Schizosaccharomyces pombe: one gene and its partners. The gene in region 1 interacts genetically with each later gene. Each region holds a gene or a part of one and is shown on either strand. Other genes may lie near its edges. The genes, in order: rud3, toc1 and usp102.

What was found.
Region 2: mutations in rud3 (region 1) and toc1 together harm fitness less than expected from each alone (positive genetic interaction), as found in Schizosaccharomyces pombe (one large-scale study listed by BioGRID).
Region 3: mutations in rud3 (region 1) and usp102 together harm fitness more than expected from each alone (negative genetic interaction), as found in Schizosaccharomyces pombe (one large-scale study listed by BioGRID).

The regions. Positions count from the first base shown.
Region 1 is NC_003423.3:737,465-744,204, reverse strand, and holds rud3 (golgin protein Rud3), read right to left. Parts: upstream 3,943-6,740; 5' UTR 3,931-3,942; coding exon 2,725-3,930; 3' UTR 2,329-2,724; downstream 1-2,328. Other genes in the region: protein Mdm35, read right to left, coding at 1-35, 98-136; U4/U6 x U5 tri-snRNP complex subunit Prp31, read left to right, coding at 686-2,242; double-strand-specific ribonuclease Pac1, read left to right, coding at 5,410-6,501.
Region 2 is NC_003423.3:2,399,732-2,406,471, reverse strand, and holds toc1 (Tor complex Tor2-interacting protein 1), read right to left. Parts: upstream 2,955-6,740; 5' UTR 2,892-2,954; coding exon 2,769-2,891; exon of another isoform or gene 2,727-2,768; coding exon 1,557-2,726; 3' UTR 1,140-1,556; downstream 1-1,139. Other genes in the region: rpl35A02 (60S ribosomal protein eL33), read left to right, coding at 511-719, 851-968; pgs1 (CDP-diacylglycerol--glycerol-3-phosphate 3-phosphatidyltransferase), read right to left, coding at 3,078-3,334, 3,431-4,197, 4,235-4,719; eIF2 alpha kinase Gcn2, read right to left, coding at 5,018-6,740. UniProt on the Schizosaccharomyces pombe protein: Component of TORC1, which regulates multiple cellular processes to control cell growth in response to environmental signals. Tor2 is essential for growth. Nutrient limitation and environmental stress signals cause inactivation of TORC1.
Region 3 is NC_003423.3:3,422,817-3,429,556, forward strand, and holds usp102 (U1 snRNP-associated protein Usp102), read right to left. Parts: upstream 1,664-6,740; 5' UTR 1,416-1,663; coding exon 1,295-1,415; exon of another isoform or gene 1,242-1,294; coding exon 972-1,241; exon of another isoform or gene 915-971; coding exon 556-914; 3' UTR 406-555; downstream 1-405. Other genes in the region: ESCRT II complex subunit Vps25, read left to right, coding at 1-145, 190-378; plasma membrane glucose/fructose:proton symporter Ght2, read left to right, coding at 4,756-6,351. UniProt on the Schizosaccharomyces pombe protein: Involved in nuclear mRNA splicing.

The DNA of each region.
Region 1 (6,740 bases):
GCATACCAATCGTTAAAGCAGGCATCATACTTCTTCTGTTCATAATTTAGTCAGCTAAAATTCGTCCACAGTGTTTATCATATAAAGAAAACTCTACCTTAGCAGGGGTACATTCTTCACTAACAGAGGACGACATAGTTGGATTCAGTAATCTTGATACTTTTCCAAACTGTTGAATGAATGAATTTTCTCCAGATCAATTAAACCAATTTCCTTGTCAAGGAAAAAAAAAATGAACGAAAAAAATTTAACAAACTTGAAGAAATGAATCAAGCAGTTTTCGATCCCAATTCCCTATGACCGTAGTAACGTGGTTGTCTAGTATGTGTAGAGCACTAAGCAAAATACCCCATGCCAGTTCAAGTTTGACACTCCACTTGGAACTTGTCAATAAAGCGAATTTGAATCTTATTTTTACTTATTTATTTGCATTAATCTTCAAATTTGCACGATTAGTGCTATTAAGCCTATAAAAAGTTGCAGTTCTATTAAATAGCCACATACATCTATTTTGTACATTACTATCCTGGCGTTTGCTGATTACGTCCTATTTTTGAATTATTCATTAGTCTTTTTTTTAGTGAAATCTTAGACTTCCAGAACCAGCTTTGTTATTTTTTTTTCTTTTTCTGGCAACTACGCTTGACAAAAAGTTTTTCATTAGGCAAGGATTTTAACCAATATAATGTCACTGGCAGATGAATTATTAGCTGATCTTGATGATATTGAGGAAACTACAGAATCTACAATTACTGATGAACTTGGGCCAGATGCGAAGAAAAGGCGGTTAGAGTTACAATTAGAGGAAGGAAATGGCATTTCTGCTGAATTAGAAAACGATTTGGATATTACCAAAATTAGCGATTCTGCTCAAAAATTGCCTAGTGAAGTTGCTAATAAATTTAATGACAATAATGAGAACATTTATCAGCTGTTGAATTCTACACGTCTTCGCGATATCATAGAAGGAACTGAGAAATATAAAGGCACCGAAAAACAAGCTATCACTGGAAACATCGAAGATGATCTCGAATATCACCTTATCGTGGATTCTAATTCAATTGCGATGGAAATTGACGATGAAATCCTGCGGCTGCACAGACTCGTGAAGGAATGGTATCATGACCGATTTCCTGAATTAAGTAGTTTGGTCTTGAATGCCTTTGACTATTGCAAAACTGTTAGTTCTCTGTTAAATGATTTAGACAACAGCAAAACCAAACTTTCCTTTCTTCCTTCTGCTACAGTGATGGTTATTGCTACAACAGCAACGACAACAGTGGGAAAGCCTCTTCCAGATGAAATGATAAAAAACGTTAAAAATTGCTGTGAGGCAATTCAGCAATTGGGTGAAGAAAAGCAAAAAATTATTGAATATGTCCAATCAAGAATTAGTGTCGTAGCTCCTAATTTGTCTGCAGTCGTGGGTTCTACCACAGCTGCCAATTTAATCGGCATTGCAGGAGGATTGACTAGACTTGGAAAGTTTCCTGCTTGCAATTTACCAGCGCTCGGAAAAAGGAGGCTGACAACAATTGGTATTAACAATCCGGCTGTTAGTGGGGATTATGGATTTTTGTATATGTCGGAAATTGTTCAAAAGACCCCTCCTGATGTACGAAAGCAAGCTATCCGAATGACTGCTGCTAAAGTTGCTTTAGCAGCAAGAATCGATTCCATTCATGAATATCCTGATGGCTCATTTGGCATATCTGCTCGAAAGGAAGTTGAACGGAAAATTGAAAAGCTTTTGGAACCTCCATCACAGAAACCAACTGTTGCGCTACCCGTTCCTGACGATAGGCCAAAACGTCGTCGTGGAGGAAGAAGAATTCGCAAGATGAAAGAGCAATATGCCGTAACGGAATTGCGGAGATTACAGAATCGCGTCGCCTTTGGTAAGGAGGAGGCGGAAGTCTTTAATTTTGACGAAACGGAAGGTCTTGGTATGCTTGGTCAAGAAGGTGAAGGAAAAATTCGTGCAGTGTCAATTGATTCTCGAACTAAATTACGGTTACCAAAAGCGCGGAAGGCCCAACTACAATCAATGGCACAGAAGAATCCCCTTGCTGCAAGCGGTTTACAAAGTTCATTATCCTTCACACCTATTCAAGGCATTGAACTAGTGAACCCCTTACTTCAACGACAACAAAAAGTAGAAGAGGCCAACAAATGGTTTCGTGATGGTGTTTTTACACAGATAAAGAAGGATTCTAATGAGCCGAAAAATAAATTTTCATAATAATGTCTTCATAATGATTAGTTACTTTGCATATAGCTATGTTGCTTTTGCATACTAGTAATACAGACCATAACTATGACCTGAGTGATTAAAATAAAATGATATTTTTAAAATTCTTCGAAAAAACTGATATTAACAAACAATTTTGAAAATTAAGAATATTGACTAATAGATGAAATTGCAACAAGCGCTTTTGCCATAAAGCTAGGCATAGCAGGAGAAGGCAAAATATCAAAATGAACGTATGAAACTATTACTTCAAGAATGATATAGTCAACCTTCAAAATGTGTGAAAAGAGAGTAAAAAAATACTAAAACCTTGTACGCGCGGCAAAAGGTAACCCCTAATTAAGTTGTGAAGTAAGAAAAAAAAAAGCGATACATAAAAAGAGCGAAAGATATTATTATTTACAGAAAAAAGAAAAATCTTTCATACCATTGCTCAATTGAAACGTAAAATTATCGGTTAGTGTGGAAGAAAATTATGAGTCATGGAAAGAACGTCTTTTGGAAAAGGAATGATCGGAGAATAGAGAGTTAGAGGACGCACTGTGAGGAATACTCCAATTATTTACAGAGGAACCAGGACGTTGAAGTCCCGTTTGTTCCCTTTGCGTATCGTTCCAATCTAACACGGAAGAAATTAATTGCAATATTTCGAAACGTTTAGTGTCAGCGCGAGGAAGCGTCAAAAAGGAGACAAACAAATTAGAAATAAGTTGTTTGTCAATTTTTTCTGCATTATTTCCATCTTTAAGCATGCAGAGAGCCTTTGTAAGATGTTCATTCAAAACAACGGCCTCGTGCTGCAGTTTACCAATAAGTAGGGTTTTTTCTTTCACCTCGTGCTCCAAATCAGAGACCCTTGAAAGCCTTTTCTGTGTAGCATCTAACTCATTTTGCAAATCTTCGTACTCTTTTGATTTAGAAGCGAATTTCTCAGTCACGTCGTCCATGGCCTTCTGCCAATTTCTGGTAAGTTCACCGAGGTTTTCAGTATGGGAAGCTTTGGTGGATTCTAATTCAATTTCTAGTTGATGCTGATTTGTCAAATGACGTTGAATTTCAACTTCATACTGCTCTTGTCTTTCAGTTTCTCTAGCTAGCTGCTCTTCACAATCTGCCAATCGAACGGCCAATGATTCTTGCATCTCATGTTCATCTCTGGCTCTTCTTTCCCATTGTTTTGATTGAGTCGATAACAATTGATTTTCTTCAACAAGCGAAGCATTTTGCTGTCTCAAATCTGTTATATCTTGCGTTAAGCTTTCTACTTGTGCGGTCAAGGTTACGGTTTCTTCATTGCTCAACTTAAGTGCTTCCTCTGCATCGCCCAAAGACTTTTCGAGCTCTTGAATTCGTTTTCGATTTTGAGCTAACTCTTGAGAATCCTTCTTAAGCCTTTCTCCCAACGTTGACTTAATTCCCGAGACCTTCCCGAGTAAATTAGAGTGTTGCTGCTTCAATGAGTTATAAGAATTCTTTAATGTTTGATAAGCTTCCTCCTTCTCCGCCAATTTCTTGAAAGATTCTGAACATTCTAAATGTTCATCGTTTTCTTTCAAAACTCCGCCTTTTTCATTCAATTTGAGCTCATTTTTTTCATCTTCTAAGTTCAAACGACTTAAATCCTCTTGTAAATTCTCATTTTCCACCAATTTTGTTTCATTTCCTGCATTTTCTGCCATTCCAGAAATTATGGGAAATTGAATTAGTGAGCTCTAGAGTGGCCCTAAAACATCCATCTTTTCGTAAACATTTCCATAAACCTCGATAATATTCCTTTAACTTGGTTTACGAAATACTAAACCTTTTGCTTTAAAATTTGTTACTACAATAAACAGTAGCAACGTATTCAACTTTAACTGTAAGCTACGCAGTTTGGTATCTGATTTAAGGATACGTAGAACTGCGGTGAGTTTTCCTTATGGTCTATTTATATTACAATACACAGGTTGTATAAGTAGCAACTGAGTATAGGTATTGTATTAACTGGGTTATAATGTTACCTATCACTAATATAGCTCATAACTGAACTGAGGAACGAGGTTCAGTTGTAACGCTATTTATAATATTTCTAAATAGTTGTTATTAACGGGTATCTATGTATATAGACGGATAGTTACCCGTGATTATCAATAAACGGATCTTAGCTAGTATTCCAACATATGACATATAGTGATACGCAACGTAGTGTATCATAGCGTAGTGTAGTATTGCTGACATTAACATACTTTGTTGACCGTTGTGCTGCGGTACGCCCCTATTCTTTCTCTGCTCATGTTAACCAACGAACGTGGTGAAATAAACCGCTAAGTTGGAAAAAGAGTGTTTCTTTCTTCCTTCTCCTTTCTCGTCCCTCACTGCCCAACATAAACAAACTCCCACACATATGAGGTTGAACGAGTCTGCATATTCTTTTTAAAGAAAAGAGTTGTTTTCTTATTCATATTGACGGTTTGGTAGTTCCTACGAACTTGCATTTCAGATTGTTTATTTTTCATTCGGGTTTTTGCAAAGTAAGTAGCGTTGTCTTGCATCTACGGTGATAGAGCTTTCTTTCAAATAAGGAGGATTGCTGGTCCTTGGTTTGGTCAACATACGGTTTTTAATCACATTTCGATTTTACGCTGCATTTTCGATTTGCTTCAGATATCATTAATTGGTAGATTTGAAGATTATAACATTGAAAAAGACTTTTTTCACTGTAAAAAATATTTATTTTTTTATATTCAGCTATTCGAAGAACATTTTTTTTGCATTTTTTTCTTAGCTGGGTAGGTGTTCTTCACATTGGAGAGCTGTTTTTGGTTGATTGTTTTGTTACAAGATTTTTTGCATTTGTATATTACACGGAGCTTTTCGTGCTGATCATTTTTTACTTCTTGATTGTTCTTTACTGTTTGTGGTATATTTCTAAAGAAAACACAAAGTAAAGTAATTTTGGGTAAATAACTTTTTCGTTGTGGCCCTTAGAACAGTATCCTGGTACTGCACATTTCTTCTACTGACGATATTTTTACCGGAACTCTGTTCCGTACTTAATTCTCGGCCATTTTTGACACCGATTTTTTAAGTAGATCCCAATACAGCATTCTTGGATACTTCTGTCTCTTTTAGCACCGTTTTCCTTCTCACAATCTACTTTATATTTCTACCATTTTCCTATGGGACGGTTTAAGAGGCATCATGAAGGGGACTCAGATTCCTCCTCATCCGCTTCCGACTCTTTATCAAGAGGAAGAAGGTCTCTTGGTCACAAGCGAAGTAGCCACATAAAAAATCGGCAGTATTATATTTTGGAAAAAAAAATTCGTAAACTCATGTTTGCTATGAAAGCCTTGCTAGAAGAAACAAAGCATTCAACAAAGGATGATGTGAATTTGGTTATCCCTGGTTCTACTTGGAGCCATATTGAAGGAGTCTACGAAATGTTGAAGTCAAGGCATGATCGCCAAAACGAACCTGTCATTGAAGAACCCTCCTCTCACCCAAAAAATCAAAAAAATCAAGAAAATAATGAACCAACATCTGAGGAGTTTGAAGAAGGAGAGTATCCCCCGCCATTACCACCTTTACGGTCTGAGAAACTAAAGGAACAAGTTTTTATGCATATTTCTAGAGCTTATGAAATTTATCCAAATCAGTCGAATCCGAATGAATTGTTGGATATCCATAATGAAAGGCTAGAATTTCTTGGTGACAGCTTTTTTAATTTGTTTACTACGCGTATTATATTCAGCAAGTTCCCTCAAATGGATGAAGGAAGTCTTTCCAAACTCCGGGCAAAATTTGTTGGCAACGAAAGTGCTGATAAATTTGCAAGGCTCTATGGGTTTGATAAAACACTTGTCCTCAGTTATTCTGCCGAAAAAGACCAACTTCGAAAATCTCAAAAGGTCATTGCTGACACTTTCGAAGCATATCTCGGTGCATTGATATTGGATGGACAAGAAGAGACAGCTTTTCAATGGGTTAGCCGACTTCTCCAACCAAAGATTGCCAATATCACTGTTCAACGTCCTATCGATAAGCTGGCTAAATCAAAACTTTTTCACAAGTACAGCACTTTGGGCCACATCGAATATCGCTGGGTCGATGGTGCTGGTGGTTCCGCTGAGGGTTATGTTATTGCCTGCATATTTAATGGCAAAGAAGTAGCCCGTGCGTGGGGTGCAAATCAAAAAGACGCGGGCTCTAGGGCAGCTATGCAAGCACTCGAAGTCCTTGCAAAAGATTACTCTAAGTTTGCCCGTTAATCCCACATTTTTTATTTTTCTAAAAATTTAAATCCCATTTTATACGATGAATTAATTCGTCACGGTTTCGATCGTTAAAAGGTCTTACTGTCACAGTCAATCTATCTTTTGTTTGGTCCTTATGAAGAATTATTTAAAGTCTTTTTAGCATTTTATATTCTCTTTTAGTTCAAAAAAAATATAAAGTTTTTGTTCCTCTGATTATTCCGTATTTCTTTAGATATTTAAGTTAGATAAAA
Region 2 (6,740 bases), 1.7 Mb from region 1:
CTTACGACGGCTACATTGCGTCCGTCCATTACTGCCATTCATAATTTGTTCTTCATTCGCTAAATAAATTTTATTTAGTTCAGATAAAACCAAATTGTTGTACTATTAGAGATACAATGAATAGGTTTAATCAGCCGATATTCCTATATTCAGTAGTAGACTATTCAGGTACAAGATATAATACTAAACAATAATATGTAAACAAAATCGAATATTATCAAGTTAGTCCCCGTTACTTTATATTGATCATTAGAAAAACTTTACACTATACTGTATTGGTAAGTGAGAGATAATTTTAAAAAATTGAAGAGTATCTTTTTAAGATTATATAATGAATTAAGCTATATGATCGCAATCAATAAGATTATGAAGTACGTTACACTATGCTAGATTTATGAAAGTGTTTACTACCAACACAAGCTTAGGTTTTGCAAGCACAAGAAGGGCAGTCACAGCTTAAGCAAACGGTAAGGATCACCACACTAAGAGTTCCGCCTTTACCAAGTCAAAATGCCTGCTCAGGGACACAGATTGTACGTTAAAGCTAAACATCTCTCTTTTCAAAGAAGCAAACATGTTATCCACCCAGGAACTTCTTTGGTAAAGATTGAGGGATGTGATTCTAAGGAAGAAGCCCAATTTTACCTAGGCAAGCGTATTTGCTTCGTCTACAAAAGCAACAAGCCCGTTCGTGGATCCAAGATTCGTGTCATTTGGGGGTAAGTTTATTTTTGTAATTAAATTCTTGCGTTTCTTTGGAGAATATGAAGAAACGTTAATGCTATATTTTCACGGTCGTTTTTTGTTGGCTAAACGAATACATTCAAAACCTTTACTAATTACGTTTTAGAACTGTTAGTCGTCCTCATGGAAATTCTGGTGTTGTTCGTGCTCGTTTCACCCATAATCTTCCTCCCAAGACCTTTGGTGCCTCTCTCCGTGTCATGCTTTATCCCTCCAATGTTTAAATAAAATATTTTTATGTTCACAACAATTCTTCTGCTTCTTAGATTTATTTTATTTAGGGAATCCCATTTTATCGAAAGCCTCGTTTGTTATACAAAGTAATCAATGCTTTTGGTATTATTTACTCACTAGGAATTTGTAATTGGTACATTAAAACACAATTATTAATTTAAGTTTAATCAATATTGATGTTAAATAACAAAAGCTGTAAATTTGTATAGGTAACTTTTGAGAATCGTTTCACGAAGTATCATTTCAGTCGTCTGTTCTTAGGGTGTTGATGGGCAACACTGCATCAATTACTTAGGTATTGTAAATTCACTAGTTTGGCGTCTAACCTTTAGTACTGAATACTACCTTGTTTATGCAGGTAGTTCGATCGAATACTGTCGAGCATGTTTATAATCGGCTGTCGATCATACAAATCAAAAGCAAATCAATTATTAACCCCAACTATAATTATTTAAAAATAGTATAAAATAATAGCAAAATTATTATCAACGAAACAAAATCATCAAGCATTCTTTGTGAGAAAAAAAGGAGCGCAAGAAATAGTCCTAAATTGTAAAGATAAAACACATAGACGCTATTCAATTTAAACTCTTCCAACCTTGAGCCAAAAACGACTGTTTATAAGGTCTAAAAGCTTTTGAATTGTCAAGATCATCACTTAATACATAGCCCATACTTCGGGCTTGGATACTTCGACTATGTTCGTCTGCCTTTTTCAACATTTGGATCCATCTATTTTTCCGATCGACAAACGAAGAGGGTGAGGCTTCAAAGGAGGATTCTGAGCTAAGACTTGACGAAGGAGAATGATTTGTGAATATAGGAGAAGAATCAATATTTAATGGTAAACTTCCTGAGTGAATTTCCATAGCATCCACTTTGCTAGTAAAATCTTCATTTTCCTCGTCGCTCGGAATCGTGGTTGACATTTCAAGTGAATCGCCCGATTTGTTATTATTTATGTTGTTTGTGTCAAAATCGAATTCAAGTTCTTCATCAGATCTGAAAGTTAAAGTAGATAGATTTTCTATATCGTTTAACGAATCCGAAGACGCTTCATAGTCTGGGTTGTCAAGTTTGAACTGTTTGGAATACTGCATTGGCTGGTTAAAATACTTGCCGGGCTTGTCCGAAAAGGCAACTTGATATTCATCAGTAAAAGCAACATGCTTTTTTGGCTTCGATTTTCGACGTTGAGTAGACCGACTTTCGTCGATCATGGCATGGTCAGCATCAATGGCATCACTCGACTCCTTTGGTGATGCGATATTGCTATCATATATGGTTTTCACTTCCTTCTCTAGTGATTTCTCAATTGTCGAAGCATCTTCTAACAATTTAGTTTCGTAGGCTTCATAGTTGAGTTGCTGATTACGCATAAACGCAAGTAGTGATAAACGATTTGTTGATCTCTTTGACAACAAAAGTTCTTCGACTGTACGCTTAATTTCCTTGTTTACTAGTGAAGAAAATGAAGCCCGTATTTCATCTTCCCGAGGTTCAGCTCGCGCTTTAATTATGTCCATTCGAATGCCCAATTCTGAAATAGGAAAAGATGCTCTTACAGAAGAAAGAGAAATAGCTGAATCGTATATGTAAACTTTCACGTTTTCTTCTTGAAATAATTTCTGCGGTTCCTCGGATATTTCAATATTTCCCTGCACAGCAAGAATACATAAGTTGCAGCCTCGACAAGCAACAGCTGAACAATTTTCAGCTTTGCATATTTGCAATAAACTATAAATTTTCTATTGAATTAGTTATATTTGATTTCATTAAGGTTAGCGTACAATTTTTATGAGATCACGAGGAACAAATATCCATTGATGTTTGGTTTCATTAGGAATTCCTAAAACACGTATATTGAGACATTCACAACTTATTCCATCGCCAAATGGCGATTGCAATTGCATTAAATCTACTATGAAGATTTCGTCAACGCTCGAATCGCGTTGCTCAGTGAGATCGGCGTTGGCAAGAATTAGGTACGCCGTTGTCGATGTAATATAATTGATACAGTATTGTGCTATACTACATGCTTAATAACGCCGAAAAATCTAATTCTTGATAATTTATTTATAAATTTTATTAAATTCATATTATAATTTTTTCTTCATGAGAGAAGTCAAAGCCTTCACATACATAGGAACCTTTTCTAACTGACAGGTATTCATAGGCTTTGTGTGCTGTTTAATAAGTTCAATTTCAGTAGAAAATTTTCTCTTTAATTTTTCATTCTGTGTCATTACAACTAAGGTGGATTCAAGGTCCAACTGTTGAGACCTACTCGTATAATTGGAAGACCCAATCGTCGTTAAAAAAGGATGCTTGTGATGTTGTGTACTCAACCAAAATCCTAAAATAGTGTTAGTGAATTTTTCAAAGATATATGACTTAAGTGCCGTGCTCCAAAAAATATTTATAATGGAAAACGACAGACTGTAGTGTTTACCTTTAGCATGATATGTATTCCCCTTATTTTGCCATTGTAAGACATCAATATTTCTTTTCTTCTTTCTTGAATCTTTAAGAAATTGTTCAGCAATATACTGATACGCTGGTGGAATTAATTTCGATGGTCCAGGAGATCGATAAAATCCATTAGCCTGTTGAGAAGCCACGATTACTTCCCCTATACCTTCAGATTTCAACAACTGTTTTCTAAGTGCTGGATAAACATTAAAATAGCCAGCCGTTAAGGTCCAATTAACCTCCTTGCGCGATAGCAAGGTCCCGATTATAGACAAGACCTTTTCTTCAGTAGAATGTACGTCAGAAGTAAGGATAGGTACACATTGAAAAAGTGGGTATACGATAGCAGATTCTTCATATTTATGAAATGGCTTATTGTTGTCATCACCTGCTTGATTAATTAATTCAGAGCCATATACTGATGATAACGGTTTAGAAGGGTTGCGAGACAAGAATTTCTCTCGATTCCCCTGAAGAAGTTGTTGAATTTTAGCAGAAGCTGCTACCCGAAACTCTTGAGGATTTGTTAAAGGATTTGGACATGAATTGTTCCATTTCAAAGTAAAAGGAATAACCGGGGACGTAGAAGATAGTTGAATTGAGGAATCGGATAAATGAGGGATACACTCAAAAGAAAGCTGTGAAAACAAAAAATGCGTTTTAAAGAAAAAGTCCGCTAAACCCTTATCACTAAACAAATAATACCGGTCTTTTCGATTTGTAAAGTAATCTCTCGAAAGATTGGCTCTATTCGTTAGTATAGTAAATAATCATTTGCCTTTACCCGCTGATAATGAGGTTATCATCTGCACCATATATTTTCATATGCTGCAATCCCCATCCCTCATTAAATCTGTGTGGAACCAATTGCTTTCTTAGTCCACGCAAATTCGGTGTATGGTAAAGCTTGATTTCGCATCTATCAGGAAACTTCTTTTTCAATTGCATTAATAGAGATGCAGAGCAACAACCAGGGCTTTCCCTAGTACACCGCAATTGATCTGCCAGAATGTGAACATGCAAAGAGGGATTGTTGCTTAGCGCATTTGATAGACAATTGATCAATTCTCGCTCTTCTTTTCCAATGTATAGCGTTGATAGAAATATTCTTTTTTGAGCTTTTTTGATTAATTTTTTCAAGCGTTGATAAAACTCAGGAGGTTCATGAATGATATCAATATCATCAACGTTAACATAGAATTTGGGACACACACCGTCAATCTGAGATTCCAAGTTGACAAATATGTTTTTCTCTATTCCTTCATCCATTAGGCTGTTTAAATTGGTGTGCTAGGTTAGTGTGAGATACATTGAGCTTGCAAACCCGTTCATGCAGTAGAAAGGTCAATATCCAACGGTAATTTGAACGTGAAATATAGAGAAAAATGGTATAAAAGCAGAACTTCCATGTTATATTAAAAATAAAAAGTATCAAATTGACTCTAACTTACTTAACAAAAAATAATATACCGATCACGAAATATACACATTTAAAGTAATTTATAGCAAAATTTTTTCTATTTAATTAAAAGAGTAATGAAAATTAAATGATTAATTAGTTCAAAATTTATTTAAGTCCATAAAGATAAATTTCGTTTGTCCTGAATGAGCATATCCAAACCCGCTTCTTATCTTGTTCTGCAAGGGTGACAAGTTTCTTTTGCAGTCTCTGCATATATTCCCTTTGAGAAGCTGGGCAACTTTCTATTAAACGTTTCCAAGACTCCTCATCAAGCGTAGTGGTACTACGAAGTTTTTCCATAGCTTCTGAGTCGCAATCCACTGCTAAAGCAATAGCATCTTCTGAGCTTTCACGAATGGCTGACTGCACTAGATCATAAACTTTATTCATAGCATTTTGTTTGTGTTTCCATTTATACTTTCTATCATTAACGTCTTTAAGCGAGATCAACTGTACGTCGAGGTTGGATTGAGAGGTGTCAACGAACTTTGCAACATCTTGTTGAGCTGAGTCTAATATACGTTTCGACTGTAACATGCTTTCGTTTCTTTTTCTTTCATTAATTTCTCCCAGCAACCACATCCCAACTTCATCAAAGCGTATTTCGTCATCTTCATTTTTTAAAATATTTCGAGCCTTGACTGAATGTTCCATCTGGGTATTTTTCTGACGCACGACGAGAACCCAATTAATGCCTTCACTTCGATAGTGTGTTACAATCTCTTCTAAACTGCTAGCACCCCTTAAAACTATATCCGCTTGGATATTTAAAGCCCAAAGCTCTTGCAAAAGTGAGCATTTTTCTAGGATTGAATCCTTGCCAATACTAGTAACTAAGACATCAACTCTCCTTGGTGCCCAAGGGCCTACAGACTTTAAAGTTGGTGAAGGAGAATGCTTGCTTGACTGCTTACTATTGTGAAATCGAATATATCGCAGCATTGAAAATACTAGTTTTTCAAGGGCAAAACATATTCCAACAACATGCTTTTTTCTGGCAGTTCTCATTAGAGGAGGATCGAAAAAGCGTACAAGCTTGTCATAACGACCACCAGCACAAATGAGTTCAGATTTTTCCGCCAAGTTAATTGCTTGAAACATCAAACCTCCATCGTAAAACTCAAAGTTATAAACACATAAAGGCATGAAGTATAACTGATGAGAAATTTTTAGTGCTCGAAGTAATTTAACCACTCGCTCCATATAATTTAAAGCAGTTCTCATTTTCTGTGGCATTTCCTTCCCAAAAATTTTTCTAAGTTTGCTAGCACCTTCTTCATAATTTTCCCGAAAATCAAACAAACTCAGATCGTCTAAGGTGGTAGAGGGAACTAATGACTCAATACGAAGCTGGTTCCGTACCTGTGATAATGTTAAGCGTTGGTTGATTTGTCCAAGTATATGAGTAGCCATGCGTCTTTTATCCTTTGATACTTGTAAATAATCAAGAATGGAGGAAAGAATGTCAGCGTGATTAATTAAGATACAACTTTCTGTCAAGGATGGTATCTCTGTTAATACTTCGTCTAATGCTTTGATTGTTTCTGCATCATACCAATCCAAATTATCAGAATTCGTGGTAATGTCAAATGAAATTTCCTTTATAGCCTTTGGTCTCCCTCCACCTTTGGCTTCCCGAAAAACGTCAGAAATTAAGTACGTCTTTTCTTCTTCCACAGCGTTTCTAGCAACATTTCTCGCGTAAGGAAGAACCGTATCATATGGAAGCTGTAAAAGGGTACCATTTTTATCTAGTAGGGAAACAGAAGCTTGGTCTTTATCGTATTGAGAAGACTTTGGGAATAGAATATGTGACTCACGTTCCTTG
Region 3 (6,740 bases), 2.7 Mb from region 1:
GCTGCCTCTTTCGGTGTTTCGAGAAATAGTAGAGGATATGGTGAAACAAAACCTAGCAGAATGGACTGAAAAGCGAAATCCTAAAGACGTGTTTTGGGTATACTGGAGGTCTATATCTGAATGGGGGAATATGATCTTGAAATGGGTAAGCCATTTTCTGCATAGTCGAAAGTACTAATTGTTTTACAGCTATCCGATATGGGACGAGAAGGGTCTATATGTACATTTTACGAACTTCAAGAACAATATAAAGAGGTAGATTGTTTAGACGAAGTACTCCTCCATAAAGTTCTTGAGCTACTAATGAAAAAAGGAAATATCGAATTAATGAAAGGATCGTCTGGAAAATATAGCGGGTTCAAGGTACTGAAAGCTTAACATAATTACATGCTTGATATACATAATTTTGGGCCTGCAAAATTGCATTATATAATTTATATACACAAATGATCAATTATGAAAATGATAGGAGCTTTATATATTTCGAAAGGTGACTTTTGGATGATTATTGCAACAAAAATTTGAAAGAGGGAATTAAAATAGTTGCAGAATCAACTACGAGGCCTTCCGAGCGAATGTTACCTTTATTTGATTTCCACTGAGGGACATACCTGTTGTCCCATTTTTTGCGACCGTTGCTTCTCTATCAGAATCGTATTCAACAAATGCAATTCCTCTTCTACCGGGAACCATACGTACTTCTTGAAATCCAGAAAACGCTTCGAAAATTTGTGTAAGGACGTCTGCGTTTACTTCTTGAGGGATATTTTGTAACAGAAGTACCTTATTAGGAGGCAACAAATCTTCATTAATTGTCGATTTACGCTCAGCTCCAACATTACGTTTAGGAACCGGCTTTTTATGAGTGGGTTTGGGAGCTGCGGGTTGAAGAGCGCTAGTCCGTTTAAGCATTTCTATAATATAAGGTTAGTAAAGTGAGGTCTTTGATTTTAGAATAAAAAAGATTATACCTCTCCTATTTTTCCTATCTTTTTTCCTAGTTTCTATTTCTTCAGGAGATTCTCTTTGTACGATAATATCGCTTTTAGATTTACTGTACTGTATCATCATGGGCTTTCCATACAAAGGGTATCCTTGTAAATCCTTTAACGCTCGTGACGCGTTCTCCAAGTTGTCGAATACTACAAATGCTTGACCGCGCATTCGCAAAGTCTTTCTTGCTTGAACATCTATGACTTTACCATAAGACCCAAAGAGATGTTCTAAAATTCGTTTCAACACTACGATTGTTAGAAATTAAATTAAATTAAAACAATTTAAATTAGTGGCATACTAGTAAGACGAATTTTTTCTTCAATGTTGCGTATGTAGAGAGTCTCTGACGGTGTTTGAGAGTCTGTCTCTTTAGGAGATGGTTGTTGAACCTCTTGATGCGAATTTGTTTGAGGATCCATTGGATGTTAAATATAAAAAGATATTCACAGTGAATTTCGGCACTAATGTTATGATGAATCAAAAAACACGAGTATTTAAAAATTGGAAGACAATCCAGCTTATGGCATTAAATTCCAGCTAATTACCAAAAGAAGTAGTCTTTCAGGTACCACCTTGTTTTAGTAAATATGGCTCGTAATGGTTGACTTTACATTCAATTTCAAAATGTAAATTATAGCCAGCATTAATATTTCGTTGGATGTATTCTAAAAGCGCTTGTTTTCAAAATACAGTACTCTAATGTACCAAATATCAAATGGAGAGAAACACTCCTTATCCAAGTTAAAGATCGCGAAAGGAAGAACTTCAATAAATGGACGTAGTTTTAACACGATAACGCATCGCTATGTTTGACCATGTTGTTGCTCATTAATCTTGTTTTCAGTTGCAGAAAAAGTTACGAATGCTTGAATAGTGAATACGATAATCTGTACAATAATTCAGTTTGCCTTGTATTTTGTTACAATATGGTACAAATCCTTATATAATTTACGAGATACCTAGGTAAAAGAACCGAGTTTATGCGTTAATGATTTACCGTGCAGACAAATTTTGAACGCGCAAACAAAAGAATAAAAATTTTATAAACAACAATTGATTTAGTTACTGAAAGAGAGCGTTTACCCAAAGTAAAGAAAATGATATAAATATTGTTATTTGTAAACTGTGGATAATATGGGAATCGATGGTGTACTGGACGCGCAAATAACGAATTTTACGAGCCGTCCTATTAAGAAATACAACAGCCGAGAACAGAAGAGCAGTCACAAACCATTTTTTATTCCACAATATTAGATTGTATTAACACAAATAAAATTTTTTTTTCAAGGCATTCTCTACAATATCGAAGACATTCAACGTATAAAGGTTAGTCTTGATTCAAATACTTACCCTTGTAATTTCAATTTAATGTTAGACAAAGTTATTGCCCCAACGTCTCTGGAAAACGCGGATGCAAATTGTGGAGGAGGCAGAACTGGAAAAAGTATCAGCCAATCATCAACATGTCTGAAAAAAAATTCCAAGATATTTCTAAGCCTAGCTCGTAAAAACGGGTGACAAGACATGTATGGCGCTATCGAAGTACGAAAATAGAAAATTGCCAGACGATATTAGAGTAAAAGACACAAAAAGAATTTCATTTATTCACCCTATTATAATTTTTCAGCTTTCATCAATGTATGCGTACTAACTAAAAAAATTATCGGTGGTCATTTAAAAACAACAAAACCATCCAGCATTCATCACATGTCTTTCATCCAATCAAATGTAGTTATAGCTATTATCGTCCAATAGATTGCAGAGGCGGGATCAAAATCCCCTTAGGCAAAATTGGTAGGCTTCTCCACAGTTTTTCTCAGACTTGGGAAGAATGGAGCGGGGTAGGGAAATATAGCAAGACCCTGTCTTACAATGATTGGGCAAAAGCTTCACATATATGGGAGCAATATATGTACAATAGGCGCTTTTCACGGACATAGCAAACCTTGTTAGTAATGAGTTGGGCGTATTTAAGGAGGTCCCAAGGCCTCAAAAGTCGTTTACCAAGTTCATAACTTTTTAGGGACTACGTTAGTTAGCGATGAATTAGTGATGATTTAGTGTGCAGCGTTTACATTTTCTTAACACAGACAATTGCAGTACGGGTTACAGCTCCATATTTCTTCTATAGTCCGAATGAAGTATGGGCGTACACGTAATCAAGGGATAGAAGTATCCTTTTACACCGAACTGTTCAAGAGCGAATATATCGCTTGAGAATTCTGTTTTTTTTTGAAAAGGTTCATTGTCCATCCATATTTACCTTCTTGTTAGGGAGTCTCGCTAGGATGGTTGGTGTCGCGGTCGATGTATGGTCTCCAGGTTGGGGGCCCCTAGCTATCCTGACTTGGATAGGACAGAGATAAGATACACGTTGCGTGACGTTTTCTTAAAAAAAAAGAGCACGGCTATGCTCTATTCATGTTACTAGTTAATACTAGAGGAACTCCGCATTTAGGTTAGTTCCGTTATGGACTCGAATATGTGGAGCTCGAGAATGCAAGCAATCGAAATTTGAAGGATTATGGTTCCGTAACGTTAATTGTTCTATTGCCAGCTTTGAGATAGTCATGCAGCGATGAGAGTATGCTGTGTTTTAAACTTTGATATTTGCTGGTTCCAATACGTATGGCCACCATTGGTATTATTTTTTCGCCTTGCGAATTAATTTTACTGCAGACACTTTACTTCTTTTGCCTCAGGAAACGTTTTTTTGTGTTCAATCTTGATTTAACGATATGAGGAGTATAGAAATATACTTGGTTTTTTCGGTTACTTTGCTAAAATTATTGACGTTGGAATACACTCTGTATTTGCTAGCAGTCCGAACTTGCAGCCTCGGTCGCCAAAGTATTTAAATTTACTTTACTTTTGAGAATTATTCCTACATCACATTTATTGAAAGTCGTTTTTTCATCCTGTTATCGGCTTTCTACCTCACTAATAGTGTCTTTCCCCAGTATATGCATCAGTTTCATTACGTACAGTGTATCATTTTACGATTGAATTTTTTTTTTTGCTATGGAGAATTAATGATATCGTGACATTTTTACCTCGTTCTTGACTTTCAACGAGCTGTTGATCCTCGTCATACACGTCGTTTAAATTCTATTCCACATCTTATTCGTTCTTATTTGTGTGTGACTGCGTTTTTTTAAGTCGGCGTCCAATGATACAAGAGTTTGCTAACTACCTTGTTGCCCTTGTAATATTGTGACGTATAACCAAAAACTCTCCGGCGATCCTGTCTAAAATTTCACTGAAAGCAAAGGACTTTTGATACTTTTGTCGGGGTTTCTCTTCCCGAATTTAGTATAAAAGCTGCCCTCTTGACTGTTAAAATCTTTACCTAGACCTATTCTTGCTTTTTAAGTGCAAGAGCAACTTTAGTCTTCATTTACCTAAAAATCCTTTCTTTTTTTGGTTAAACAAGAACGAAATCCAAAGAAAGCTCAATAAAAGCATTGTGCTTTCCTTGGTTACCCTTTCTTTATACCGATTTTGAAAATACAAGCTCTCTGTGCTTGAAAATCATAATCTAGATTAATTTTTCTTTTAATTTTTATTTATTGAGAATCTCTTGTCAAGATCTCTAACTCATAAACTGTCTGTTCTTTGTTCTATCATTTCTGCTTAACGTGTTGCAACTGAAATAGACGTGTGGTTAATTTTATTCAATCTTTTATTTTCCACTTACATCCTTTCTATAGAATTTTTGTTTTTTTTCATCTTTATTAGATTCCTTTATACTTTATCAAAATGGGGTTCAAGCGTGGAAAGAATTTTACCCTTGTTATGTTAATTTTCGTCTCCATGGCCGGTTGGATGTTTGGTGCTGATACCGGTTCCATTGGTGGTGTTACTAGTATGCGCGATTTTCGTGAGCGTTATGCTGATAGATATGACCCGATCACCGACCAGTATTCTTTGTCTTCGGCTCGTCAAGGTCTTTTAACTGGTATGGTTAACGTTGGTTCCTTGTTTGGATGTATCATTTCTTCTCCCATTGCCGATCGTTTTGGTAAGAGACTTTCTATCATTGGTTTTTGTGCTGTTTATATCATTGGTATCATCGTTCAAGTTACCGCTGTTCCCTCTTGGGTACAAATCATGGTTGCCAAGATTTGGACTGGTATTGGTATTGGCGCTCTTTCTGTCTTGGCTCCTGGATATCAATCAGAGACTGCTCCTCCCAGTATTCGTGGTACCGTCGTCGTCACTTATCAGTTGTTTGTCACTGGTGGAATTTTCATTGCCGCTTGTATCAATATGGGTACTCACAAACTTCATAAAACTGCCCAGTGGCGTGTTTCAATTGGTATTAATCTCCTTTGGGGTATCATTACCATGATTGGAATTCTCTTCCTTCCCGAATCCCCTCGTTATCTTATTCAAGTTGGCAAGGATGAAGAGGCTGTTAGAGTTCTTTCTGAAAGTGCTGAGCTTTTTCCTGATAGTGAGGAAGTTCAAAATGAATATCACCGTCTCAAATCATCTATTGACGAAGAATTTGCTGGTGGCCCTTGCAGCTGGGCAAGCATTTTCGGTAAAGACATTCGTTATCGTACTTTCCTTGGTATGTTTGTTATGTCGCTTCAACAATTGACCGGTAACAACTATTTCTTCTACTATGGTTTCTCAGTTATGCAAGGAGCTGGTATTAATTCTCCTTACCTATCTGCTATGATTCTTGATGCAGTTAATTTTGGCTGCACTTTTGGTGGTATGTATGTATTGGAAAGGTTTGGTCGTCGTAACCCTCTTATCATTGGTGGTATTTGGCAGTCAATTTGCTTTTTCATTTATTCAGCTGTCGGTTCTCGTGCTTTATATCATAAGAACGGTACTTCAAATACCCGTGCTGGTGCCGTTATGATTGTCATGGCATGTCTTTTCATTTTTGGATTTGCTCAAACTTGGGCTCCTGCCGCATACGTTATTGTTGGTGAGTCATACCCTGTTCGTTACCGCTCTAAGTGTGCTGCCGTCGCTACTGCTAGCAACTGGCTCTGGAATTTCCTAATTTCATTCTTTACTCCATTCATTCAAGCTTCTATTGGATTCAAGTACGGTTACGTTTTTGCTTCTTGTAATTTGACCGGTGCAATTGTTATTTTCTTGTTTGCTAAAGAGACTAAAGGTCTTACTTTGGAAGAAATTAATGAGTTGTATATGTCTGTCATCAAGCCCTGGGAATCTGGTAACTTTAAGCTTAACTATTCTGAGCAAAAGAAAGTTGAGAAAGAGAAATCCAGAAAGGGCGGTGCCCGTGGTGAGTCTGTTGAGTATGTTGAGCGTGCTTCAAACACTGACTCATCTCCACAATACTCTTCCCATGAGGAAGATTACGCATAAGGCAATAGCTAAACGTCTTTGTATGATTTATGAATTGTGTGAGGCAGCTAGATCCAAAATTTGTTGTTCCGATTCGTTGGGTCTATATATTATATTATTAGCTAAGTTTGGATTGATAATTTGTTAAGTTACTGTGCATCTTAAATCTAGTTTTTTGAGATTATGTTCGTTTGCATATAATATTAGATACATGTGCATTCTTTGTCCATTTTTGTGTTTTTGTGTTCATTATAGGAAATAATATTTTTTATACCTAATTAAGTTTTTGTTGATTCGTTGCTTAGTAGCTAAGTATTTCCAATGTTAATAAATATTTGTAAATGTTGAAGTGAGTCATGTTTATACAGTGATTTGTAGTTGAATTTTCATTATATTAGTAAGTCTGTTAC